3 linked regions of the Saccharomyces cerevisiae S288C genome follow. The protein of the gene in region 1 purifies or fractionates together with the protein of each later gene. This does not show direct contact. Each region holds a gene or a part of one and is shown on either strand. Other genes may lie near its edges.

What was found.
Region 2: the proteins of PRE4 (region 1) and PRE5 purify together in Saccharomyces cerevisiae (affinity purification with mass spectrometry; 3 studies listed by BioGRID). This does not show direct contact.
Region 3: the proteins of PRE4 (region 1) and FUB1 purify together in Saccharomyces cerevisiae (affinity purification with mass spectrometry; 2 studies listed by BioGRID). This does not show direct contact.

Annotation. Positions count from the first base shown.
Region 1 is NC_001138.5:247,440-251,388, forward strand, and holds PRE4 (proteasome core particle subunit beta 7), read right to left. Parts: upstream 2,428-3,949; coding exon 1,627-2,427; downstream 1-1,626. Other genes in the region: RMD8 (Rmd8p), read left to right, coding at 1-695; alpha-ketoglutarate dehydrogenase subunit KGD4, read left to right, coding at 1,084-1,455; RET2 (coatomer subunit delta), read right to left, coding at 2,724-3,949. UniProt on the Saccharomyces cerevisiae protein: Non-catalytic component of the proteasome which degrades poly-ubiquitinated proteins in the cytoplasm and in the nucleus. It is essential for the regulated turnover of proteins and for the removal of misfolded proteins.
Region 2 is NC_001145.3:899,522-903,610, reverse strand, and holds PRE5 (proteasome core particle subunit alpha 6), read right to left. Parts: upstream 1,903-4,089; coding exon 1,198-1,902; downstream 1-1,197. Other genes in the region: YMR315W (uncharacterized protein), read right to left, coding at 1-811; TGL3 (bifunctional triglyceride lipase/lysophosphatidylethanolamine acyltransferase), read left to right, coding at 2,304-4,089. UniProt on the Saccharomyces cerevisiae protein: The proteasome degrades poly-ubiquitinated proteins in the cytoplasm and in the nucleus. It is essential for the regulated turnover of proteins and for the removal of misfolded proteins.
Region 3 is NC_001135.5:247,667-251,834, forward strand, and holds FUB1 (Fub1p), read right to left. Parts: upstream 2,380-4,168; coding exon 1,627-2,379; downstream 1-1,626. Other genes in the region: SOL2 (Sol2p), read left to right, coding at 1-244; cystinosin-like protein ERS1, read right to left, coding at 367-1,149; EGO2 (Ego2p), read left to right, coding at 1,309-1,536; deadenylation-dependent mRNA-decapping factor PAT1, read right to left, coding at 2,572-4,168. UniProt on the Saccharomyces cerevisiae protein: Plays a role in the establishment of transcriptional silencing boundaries, preventing the propagation of heterochromatic silencing.

The sequences.
Region 1 (3,949 bases):
ATGGCGTTATTGTTTTTTGGAACTTTACTGAAATTCAAGAGAAAAATATTCTTGGTGATATAACATTTGCAGATTATAAGAATTTAATGATCCGGCCGCTGGATGAACAAGATATTGAAACTGAACAATTCCATTTCGAATATGACAGAGATACCGAGAGACCGAGAATTTTCAATGATATTGTCACATTACGTTCAGGTGACCACATTATCGAGCTGACACTATCACATGCGATTGCGCAATCTTCGAAATTATCAAGGTTTGAATCCAGAATTTCGCCGATTTTAATATCAGTCACAAAACTACCTAAAAGACTAGCATTATATGGTACCCTTGGGTTAAAAAGGGAACAGCTTTTGAAAAAATCAGGGAAGCTCTTTAAATTGAGAGTGGATGTTAACCTTTCATCCACCATATTGGATACACCCGAGTTTTTTTGGTCGTTCGAACCAAGTTTGCATCCACTGTACGTGGCAATGAGGGAGTATTTAGAAATTGACCAAAGAGTACAAGTATTAAATGATCGTTGCAAAGTTTTCTTGGAATTCTTTGATATATGCGTTGACTCTGTTGCTGAAAGAAACATGGCTCGTGTTACATGGTGGTTTATTCTTGTCATTTTATTTGGAGTTATATTTTCATTAACAGAGATTTTCGTTCGTTATGTAATTATTCATCGTCATACTTCTACATAGATATTCATACACCCTTCTAGACGGCATTAAAAATAAATTAATGATATATTTAGTTATCAAGGTTTTTAGTCATATATTTCACCGTTATTACCATTCTTGGTCACGTGCAAGTAAAACCACTCGTTGATTGGCTCCCCTCAAGATTGCATTAAAAGTACAATAATATGACTAAGGGACTCGAATATGTAAATTCATCTTTCGCATCAACAAAGGAGAAAAAGACGATAGTGAAGACTAATATTTTAGCCAGATTGCAGTGTTTCAGTGATCTTAAAAGTCTTTTTCATTTCTAGCCGCATTGAATTCTTTAAAGCAAACCATTAAGGAGTACTTCCCCAGGTTTTTAACCGATAATAAGAGTAAGATAAAAGTACAAGAAGACAGGGAAATGATTGCTACACCTATAAGATTAGCAAAGAGTGCATATGAGCCGATGATAAAATTCGTCGGTACAAGGCATCCCTTAGTGAAGCATGCAACTGAGGTCGTTGTTCATCCTTGCGCTACCAACGGAATGTTACCTGGCAGCAAAGAGTGTATTCCAGTGAGTAAATTCATGGAAAATTATAAACCATTCCGTGTAGTGCCAATAAAGCATAGCGCTAATGCTGGTCTCAGCTCGTCAAAGACCTCTGTATTCGTTAACAGGCCATTGCAAAAAGATGAGCTTGCTTCCATTTTCGAGCTACCTGCTAGGTTTCGGTACAAACCTATTAACGAGCATGAATTGGAGAGCATAAATAGCGGTGGTGCATGGTGAAGGATAGATGCAGTAATATTATGATTTTTTTTTGTTATTTTATAGTTTCTTTACACATATCATTATATCTATGTAAAAACGTAGTTACTTAGGAAGAGAGAAGAGTGATGATATTATGAATTGAAAAATAAAAATAAAATGAGTATTTAATGAAGGTGGGATAAAACTCTTCTAAATTTTTTGAGTACCGTAGCCTTTAATATCCTTGGCGAAGTCCCATTTCATGTTTTCAACTTGCAAGTTTTTCTTGAAAGTTAAACCTGTGTTCTTATCAATTATGGCCAGTGAGAAGTTTCTAGAAGAACGGGCATCTCTATAATAAAGAACTCTCATTGCATTTACGATCGCCTCTTCAGCAACCTGTACAGTGGTCTTTGGAATATCAGATTCTCGATCTACAACTTTCCTTAACAGTGGGTTTGCCATGTGTGCCCCAAAACCTGTGGCCAAGGTGGGAGACGAATACGTAACACCTAGAAGATTTACGTATCTTAGGAATTGATCACCATTAGACTGTACACCAGCAACAATGATGGCATTCCAAAGTGGATTCATCTTTGATCTTCGCTGGTACATGACGGTAGCTAGATATTCAAAAATATAGCTGGGTTCGAGCGCTTCTTCAGCATCCGCTAGAGGATTGTCATACGCATTTTCAGTGACTAGATCTTTCAATAATCTCTCAATGTGTTGCATATCAGAAATATCACCTGAAATGCCCACAACGGTGTTATCACCCACGGGAATAAGCCTCTCCACGCCATTGAATCTTAGAAGAGAGCCATATGAACCTAAATTATCTGCTGCAATGATAACCCCATTATCATATTTCATTGATATGACGGAAGTACCTGTTACTATTGGTTGCTGTGTATTAACCATGGGAGAGGCGCCTGCGTTCGCAATTTGTGTATTGTAAGCACCATAAGTAGAGTCTGCGGGCCTGCCCCAACTGAAAGGATCGTGATTCATTCGTGTGGGTTTTTATGTTGTTTTCGGCGGAAGATGAAGGATTCCTGCTGCTTATCCCCTTTCTTAACTTAGCTGTACTTTACTATGTGGGTACGTATTTAAGGTGGCAAATTCTAAACCAAGAAGCTGGAACATCTTTAATAAAAAGGATTGACGGGTAACCCTAAAAGGAAAAATAATAAAGAATAAGAGTAAGTTAAACTATATATATAGAAGGACGAAAGAAAAGATACCTCGATTTTTATTTATTTAGTTTGTGTATATAACTTAAGTATTTTATATGTGAATGTAACGTACTATTGGACAAGATATTCATCTGATTTCAAAGAGGTGATGACGTCGTAAGGGAGCTCTTGATCGTGGTCATTGGCCATGACAACAGATTGTATGGCCATACCGGTGAAACTCTTAGCTAATTTATCCCTCGTGGACTCTTGGAAGGAAACGGTCATTGGGTACAATGCATCTTCATATGGAGCTTCGATAGTGAATGCTAGCGCACCTGCATCGTTGGCAGCAATTTTGCTAATCTTAATGGAGGTTCCCATTTCTTGGTCCATGTTGACAACTTCAGCGTCAGAGCATGTAGAAGACTCTGTATTTATGTCTACTGGCTCCTGAGGGAAAACTGGAATGGTGAAGATCACATCAGCGAGTTCTGTTTCCAGGACGCTCTCATACTCAATAATGACATCAAAGCCCTGTTGTGATTCGGAGGGGGAAACCCATGTAGTTAGAGTTAATGGAATTAATGAGTCATCTTCTGCGGGAGCGACTTTACGCCATCTTAGAACACCCAGGCTTTGGTCGTTGGCTGGGAAAGCCTTAGATTTATCACGCAGGGAGATAAGTTTAGTGGATAGGAACGATTGTTTATCTATGTTTGGATGGGTCTTAAACTGGAAGGATTTATCGCGAACGTCAATAGAATCAGCTAGTTTTAGGTTCGAGTGAGATAAGTCATGGTCATTAATTCTTAGTTCTAAAACACCTTTCAATTCAGAAGAGTGAATGGTACCATCTCTGGAGAATTCTGCATTGATTACCTCCTTGATAGAGATCAAAATACCATTGTTCTCTGGGACATCCTCCTCCGGAGGAGGTGGAGTGCCAGAAGAGGCTGAAGAAATTGCACTTGGCCGTGGTGCGGCACCCGCTCTTCTTCCGGCACCACCACCCAATTTCATACCGCCAGTAGCAGAATGTCCCGCACGCTGAGACGTAGCCATTGGGGAGGCCACTGGGGCCACCTCAGCAGCAGCGGCATGGGAACTTTGTAGATAAGACTGTTGTGCTGCAGGAGAAGCATGGGAGTAGTAACTGTTGATGGCGTTTGTAACGTTAGGATCTTTACTTCCCATGAACCTATTGGCGCCGTCGTAATCGCCATTTGAAGACATAAACCCGTGTTTCCTTTCATGTTCTTTTCTAGCAATTTCCTTAGCACGGCGCTTCCTCTCCTCAGTAGCTTCGATCTCTTTATTACGCTCAATAATTTCCTGGATTCTTTCTTCGTGCGACT
Region 2 (4,089 bases), on another chromosome or scaffold:
TTACAACGGGGTCTTTTTTGTCTGATAAGTCAACGGTAACGGTACCATTCTTACCATAGACTTTCAAGAAAACCGACTTTTCGGTAGCACCAAAGGCAGACCCATAAGTAAAACTTCCGATAACCTCTTTATTTTTCAACTGGACAGTAGCAAAGACAATATCATCTGCACCGGAACGTTCACGCACCTGTCTCGTTAATGCAGAAACAGATCCAAATTCACCGAGTAGGGAAATAACGAGAGCTAATTGGTGGACACCACCATCAGATAGAAATCCGCCAATGTGCTCTGGTTTTTGTCTCCAGGTTGTGGTCAAATATTTATTTTGAGTAACAAATGGACCGGTAGAATTGTGGGTGAATGCTACTACAGGACCAATTTTCTCGATCTGCTCCTTTGCGATTTTAATACATGGTAAATATAACCAATTTTCAGCCACACCAACGGGCAATGGGGTGGATTCTGCTATCTTGACAATCTCCTTTGCTTGGTCTAAGTTGGCCGCAATTGGTTTTTCCAAAATAACTGGCTTACCTGCTTTAACTGCCTTCTCGACAATATCAGCATTAAATTGAGCAGGTAGCAAAGCGTCAATGTAGTCGACATGAGGGTCATTCAAAATTTCATCTAGATTGTCGTAAACCTTATTTTCAGGTATGTCAGCAACCTTTGCAAAATCCAAAGCTTTTGCCTTATGTCTGTTGAAGGCGGCAATGACTTTGAATTTGTCAGGAAATTCCTGGTAGGATGGGAGATGTCTATCTCTGGCAAAAATACCTGTACCAACTATACCGACGTTCAATGGGGACATTTTTGGCTATTACTTTACTTTTTGGAACCAAGAAGTGATTATGGGTCTATTCGATGTACAGAAACAAATAGGTTTGAGCGAGTTCGAAAGTTTATCCAGAATAAGTAGTTCTTTTTATAGACGAACACCTATGTATTGTGATACATAATCATGCTGAATTTTCAACAGGGGATAACTCCGTTTATTCCCCGGCGGAGGGCGGAATTAAGCGGGGTTATTAGTTGATTTGGAAGCCACGTCTTTTTTAATTTTGAATGAGAAGTGAGACTACGTACTAAGTTAATCTATTATTATCTTTATATGTAAAAAAACCCCGACCGTGGTGAAAGGCTTCTTTGGTCTTGCTTTGACAATTGCTTAGTGGAAACGATACTTTGTGTCCAGACCTAGATGTATTTAGCAACAGCTTCTCCATCGTAAATTGTAAAAGGCGTATCCTTACCCACGATGGCGATTGAAAGATTGTCTACAGTCAAGGATTCGTCCCTTAGAGACTGGCTGATAGCCTCGACGCCAGCTTTGATTAGTTCATCCGGGTTCCCGTCAATTTTTATAAACGTGTCTAAAGTTCTCTCTAGATAAGTCTTTGCCCCTTGGCTTCTTGCGCCAATAGCTGTACCATATAGTTCTGTGACATTTCCGGAAGGTTGGAATTCTAAAAGATGAGCACCGCTCTTGTCATACCCGATGATCAACAAACCAACACCGTAGGGTCTGCCCCCATAGGATTGTGTATTTTTCTGTGCTTTATCGCAAAGCAAATGACCTGCTCTCTCGACGGCAAGCTTTCTGTTAAAAACTAAGCTGGAGTAATTACACTGTTGTCTCAAATAATTACTTAAAACTCTAGCATCTGGAGCCAACCCGGCTAACGAGAGCCCCATGTGCTCGTCACATTTGATGATTTTTTTCTGGTATGATGACAATTCGTCTGCATTTCTTTTCAACGCTACTAAAACAGCATGAGTGTTCGAACGTAACCCCACAGTGACGCTCCCTTGTTTAATAGCTTCCAAGGCGTATTCCACTTGGAACAGACGGCCTGTAGGAGAAAAAGTGACTGTGTCCCCGTCGTAATTGTTCCTGAACATGTTTTGTAAATATATGAAGGCTTAGTTCAATGTATTCTTACCCACTTCTCTTGAACTTCAATTGATCACCACGTCTACCTAAATGTAGTGGCGTCTTGGTTCTTTTCCATACTTTGACGATACTTTTGAATTTTTAATTTTGCCACTCTATAATAGGGTATGTTCTTTATAGGTCATTTTTACTTTTTTAGTAGGGCATTTTAATAAATACTAGGTTTTTAGTAATTTCGGAGATACTTATCCTAGGTCTGAAAATTCAACCCTAACCCTTTTTTTCTTATGTTTTTTTTTTTCTGGGTAGCAGCTAATAGAAATTAGTACTGATTACATAGAGAAGTACTATGACACAATAGTAAGGGAATCATCTATTCATATATCACATCTTTGAGTTGCCGTTAAGCATGAAGGAAACGGCGCAGGAATACAAGGTGTCTGCTGTAATACCGACCCTTTTGAAAAACTGGATACTGCGTGTAGTGTATGCCACATTGGACCATATACCTCCTTTTGTGTGGGAAATTCTACATGTCATCACCGATATTTATTTCTTCTGGGTTCAAAAGCTGATTAACTATGTGCGGCCACACTCAAGAGTCATTTATTATAACGCTATTAAGAAGTTAGATGAGTGTGATACGTATCAAATGTGGTGTCAGCAAGCGTCCGTAGTGGATGAAATAACAGGCGCAAATTTATGGCGGCGGAATTTCTTTTCGAGGAGGTACGACTTCAATTCTGTCATTGAACAATATAGCATATTGGAAAATATGTTAAGGGAGGAGAAGTATGATGTAGTTAAGGAGAAGTTTTCGACTACAGGCCCTTGTATGTTGAGGAACTTTGCGGGTATTGGAGATAAAAAGTTGTTCACAAAATCTTTGATGGGTACAAAGCTACTTATTGAACAATATTTGACCCGAATTCTAGAAGGCTTGGATATATTAAATAATCAAACTTTAACTCCAACATCCTTTTTCCAAAGATGTAAGTTGTCACTGGGCACAACAGCATTAATCTTGCAAGGTGGTTCATTGTTTGGGCTGTTTCACCTTGGGGTGATTAGAGGTTTATTGTTACAGGACCTGATGCCTAATATTATAAGTGGTAGCTCTATGGGGGCATGCGTTGCAAGTTTATTCGGTTGCTTGTCCAATGAGCAACTAAAGCAATTATTGACCGATGACAACCTCTTGAATATCATCAAGAATGATGTAGATTTATTAAAAAGCTGTGGATACGGTAATTTAGAGCAGCACCTAAACCTGGGGACTTTGATTCAGAACCTAATACACCACGGTTATTCTCAAGACGTTTATCTTTTTATCCGGTTTGTTATGAAATATATTGTTAAGGAAAAAACTTTTGAAGAAGTTTATCAAATTACTGGAAAAGTTTTCAATATTGTTATTCATCCAACTGATAAATCATGCCCTAATTTACTAAATTATGTGACAACCCCAAACGTATTAATCAAGTCAGCCATTGAATGCTCACTTGGTTCTGGTGTAATTTCAGAGGATACATCACTATTATGTAAAAATTTAGAAAATGAAATTGAGCCTTTTCTTAACATCAATAAAAATAAACAAGTCAAATTTCTTACCCCAGAAAATGCCAACAATCCGAGCATAACGGAGAGCCCCTATACTAGGTTAACGGAACTATTCAATGTTAATAACTTCATTGTTTCTTTGGCGAGACCATACTTGGCACCATTGGTGGTAAATGATTTGAAGCATGAAATAAAAACGTCAAAATATTACTATTATAAGCATTATCCAAATATGCCTCCTATAAACGCGAATACAGTAAGAAAAACACAGAGATCCTCTTCGCAATCACCCATAAAGGCAGGAACTGTCGAGGATCTTGAGCCAGAGCCTTTAATGAGCCCTGTGCCCCCAAGTTCGGCAGTCAACGATTCAGCAGAGTACATAATCCCAGAATTGGGCATACCGCAGTTGAACTTTACTGAAATGGAACCGCTGGCGTTTAAATTTAAGTATCATCTGGAAAGAAAATTAAAAAATATTGCCACTATGGAATTTCGACATAGGATGGAGGTATTGGATAATTTAGGCCTGTTGTGCTCATTAATAAAAAGACTAATAATTGATGAAAAGACTCCCAGATCAGCTACGGAGATTGCTGTGGTACCAAGGATGAAAAGTCTATCATTAACAAGGA
Region 3 (4,168 bases), on another chromosome or scaffold:
GACCAGAATTTCGCTGACTATACCTGTAATCTGCCATTCTCACAGGGTTACTTTCGTTGTCGAAGGTGCAACCAAGGCGCCCATCATCAAGACCATTATGGAAAGGCCTGAAAAGGGCCTACCTAGCAGTATTGTCAACGAAGGTGCTGCTGGTCGTGTATCATGGTTTGTTGACGACGATGCTCTTACGGACGTCCTCGTCACCAAAAAAAAGTATAAATTCCACCAAGGTTTGTCTATTTAAACCATGCATGTGTGTACATACATACATACACACATACATACATACATACATATATTTATGTATATTTATGTATATATATATATATATATATATGCGTAATTATGCAGATTTCTCCTTGTGTGCTACAGCGGGTACTCTGACGCCAGATCATGGCCTCGAGATCGATATACAAACCACTGCATGATAAAGATGAAGTTGAATATTAAAGTTACCATTGACAGTCCCACTTTTCCAAAATTTGTCACGAACGTATCCAGACTGAAACCTTGATCGTTAGACAACTGCCAAATCAATTGGAGCAGCGAGGCGATACCGCCAGTGACATCTAGAAACACACCCTGAATGGGGAAACAATCCATAGATTTTCTTGTCGAGTTATGCGTCACTTGTGGGATGTACTTGATTAGTGACATCGATATTTTGAGTAAAAACAAATTGTTGCAATACGCCAGAGTTCTTGAGTTATGCCAATCGTACCAGTAGTTGGAGTACATAAATTGTACGGTTAGCAGTGAAAAAATGGCCAGTGATGCGAGTAAAATCCTTAGGTACCATGGATTCATCTTGCGGTGACCTTTACCTGGAAATCGCCAGATTCTCGCTCCAGCTACCACCTGGGTCAATAAGACAACATTCATCAAGCACCCATGCAGGCAATACCAGAAATCAAATTGCGTCAACTTGGGCCTGCCCAAGTCAGACTCATCACCCGTCATTTTCCAGCAGTACAATTGCAAAAATATGGATATGACCAGGTAAGAGTAACCTGCCGTATTTAACATGACAAAATCCATCGATATCGCGCTCGCTGACTTATGGCGCCAATTGGTGATTATCGGTGGATACATCGATATCGACCATGACGTAACATACACGATACCTAGTATATCGTCTAACGACACCATTTTGCTTCGCGTTTGCTTTTGTTTGCTTTTAGTTTTTCTTCCCTTGTTTACATATGGAAACTCACCTTAAAATTTCAAGATTATCAAAAAATATAAAGGATTCCGCTATTAAAGGGCAATACCACAACCTCAAACCAAATCACCTAAACCAAATCAAAGATGGAAGCGGAAAAACAATCTGATATTAAGGGAACCATTGCTTTCGATACTCACGGTAACGTTATAGAGTCTACCGGCGTGGGCAGTCAAAGGATCGAAGATATCGGTGATTTATCGAAAGTTACGCTGGATGCAGAAGGTTTTGCTCAAGTTCAAGGAGATTCGCTACTCGTACACCTGTACAAACGCAATGATATCACTTTAGCTGTATATACCAGCGCTCAATAAATTCTTTCCTTCCCTTTCGACATAGCTATGTCTGTATACTATCTAAAAACTAAATATCACAATAAACAAAGTACTAAAATAAACACCCATTTAAATAAAGCCAGATCCTGACCCTCCAAATCCGCCGGATCCTGAACCTCCAAATCCGCCAGATCCAGGACCAAATGGTTCGTCGTACTTGGATCCAGGCATCCATCCTGGCGGCATATCTTCCCGTCTTGGGGCAGGTCTTCTATTTGGATCGAAAATCATACCGCCTTGGCTACTTGGATTCCCCAGAGGATTGGGAAGCCCTCCAGACCAATCCGGATGGCTTGTGCCAACAGGATACAGATCACCATCCGCATACCCTCCTGCTGGGTTAGCGAAGCTCGGTTCAGTTACCGTAAGTCCGGGATATGGGTTCAACGGTGCTGTTCCCTGGTTTTGTCTTGCTTGTGCCTGGTACTCATCGTCAAATTTTGGCATGTCCGCACTACCTGCAGTTTGTCTTTTAAGTTGTGTCATTATAGGTTTCAGGTCTGGCTCCACAGGTAAGCTTTCTCTTTCTAGTGGCCATTTCAATTCTGTGGGCAATTTAAAATCGCTGTAACCCACCACACATGCCATGGTGATCGACGTACCATGACGAATAACAACAGTATACTTGTCATTGTCATCCAGAGTCTGAATCACCACTAGCTCAGAGAGAAACGATGTTGAACCCTTCTCACTGGGAGAATCTTTAATGCGAAAACTCACTTGGCATGATTTGGTTCCCTCTGTATGGCGTGACACCACCTCAGTTTTACCGATGGACTCCAACACTAGTTCTGCTACCAGTTCAACCTTATTCTCAATCATTGTTTAACTCTTGCGTTACTATGGTGGTATTATTGATGCTAATACGGGTTTTTTATGAAAAAAAAAGGATAACAAACTTATATAAACTTATATAAAAACATATACAATAAATGATCTACAAAGGGTAGGAAATAAAAAATAAGGGAGAAAAAAAAATACATGCGTAAGTACATTAAAATTACAGGAAAAATCTTACTTTAGTTCTGATATTTCACCATCGCGATACACCAACCCCATAACGTTTAGGAACAAATTCAAATCTTGGTATAGTTTCTCTTTATTATAAATAATAGATTTTAACTCTGTGTCTAATTCTTGAGACCTCTGAGGTAATACACTCAATTCTTTCTCTTTCTTTTGTAAGGTCTCCGCCTCGTTAATAGTGGCAAAGATTTCATCACGTACTTCATCAATAATGATTCTCTGGTGGTTTAGCTTTCCACTTAGTGCTAAACTAGCTAGGAACTGCCAAATGTATGCTTCATCCATAAACTTGTCATTTTGTAAACGCATGATGTGGTCGTTATATTCCCTTGGAGGGAAAATCAGCTGAATCTTACTTTCCAATGAAGTGAATAATTTATCATAAATCTCATTCCATGTGGAGATTTCAGGAGAGGAAAGAATATTAGATCTTGATGAATCTTGCTTGATTAATGCGGCACGAGAAATCAAAATGGTGATCAAATTTAGACCAATTTTGGAGGTGGTCAAGAACGAAACGTTGTTGTTTCTGATTAACTGTAGCAACAGACCCATAATTTCGATAAAATTGGAGTTATTAGACAAAAACGAGACAATGATCTTTAATATGATCATTTGGAACAGATCGACTTTCTTCAATTGTGTCAAAGTTGGTTTTGGTGTAGTCTTGTAGGAACTCAATATGATGATTTGCAAGTGTGATAATTCATTGAAGATTTTTTGCAGGATTTTCAATTTTTGCTGCTTATCCAAGAAATTAAAAATTCTAGGCATAATCTTGATACCTTTATCAAATGATAGCATCGAAATGAAAGGGTTTACGTCATATGAACTGTCGTCGATGTGAAGGGCCTCCCACATTGCAGTGCTGTCAGTTTGCTGGCCATTCCTCAAGTTAGCTTCCAAGTCTAAAATCTCTTCATAAACTGTTTCAATTAACTCAAGAATGAATTTTTTGCCCCCAGATTTGTTCAAATTTGTGGCACCATTACCGTTGTTGAACGCGTATGAAGATCTTCTTCTTTGCTTAGAAGCAACAGCAGCGGCAGAAGAGCCCGTAGAGGAGGACCCTGAAGAGGCCAAGTCCACGTTGGTCAGAGAGTCAGTGACGTCTTTTAGCGCATCGGGGTCAGAAGGCTGTTGTCTGGGGATCTGCAGTTGTCTTCTTGGATTCTTGCTGTTCAAAGTGGAAGAGATTTTGCCCAGAACCGTGTTTGCTTGCTTATTATCCTGGCTAGAGTTACCAGCAGCCGCTTGTTGATCCTTCAACTTAGAAGGTCTTTCCTTAGCCACAGTGACAGCCTTTTCTACTTGACTTTGCATTCTCTGTAGGGCAATATCGGTTCTCTTATAGCGACCACCGAGTCTGTGTCCAGAATGTTCCAAATACGCCCTAGCAATCAAACCTTTGTTGGATTCGGACGTGATACCGCCTCTTTGGATAATCTTGTAGACCTGGAAGTAGAAATCCTCATTGTAAGGGTCCTCAGTGACAATTTGAGACAACTGATATCTGGTGATGAAGTCCTTATCACGAGGAGTCATTAAACCTGAGTATTTCAAGATTTTCTCCACTTTGGCATGA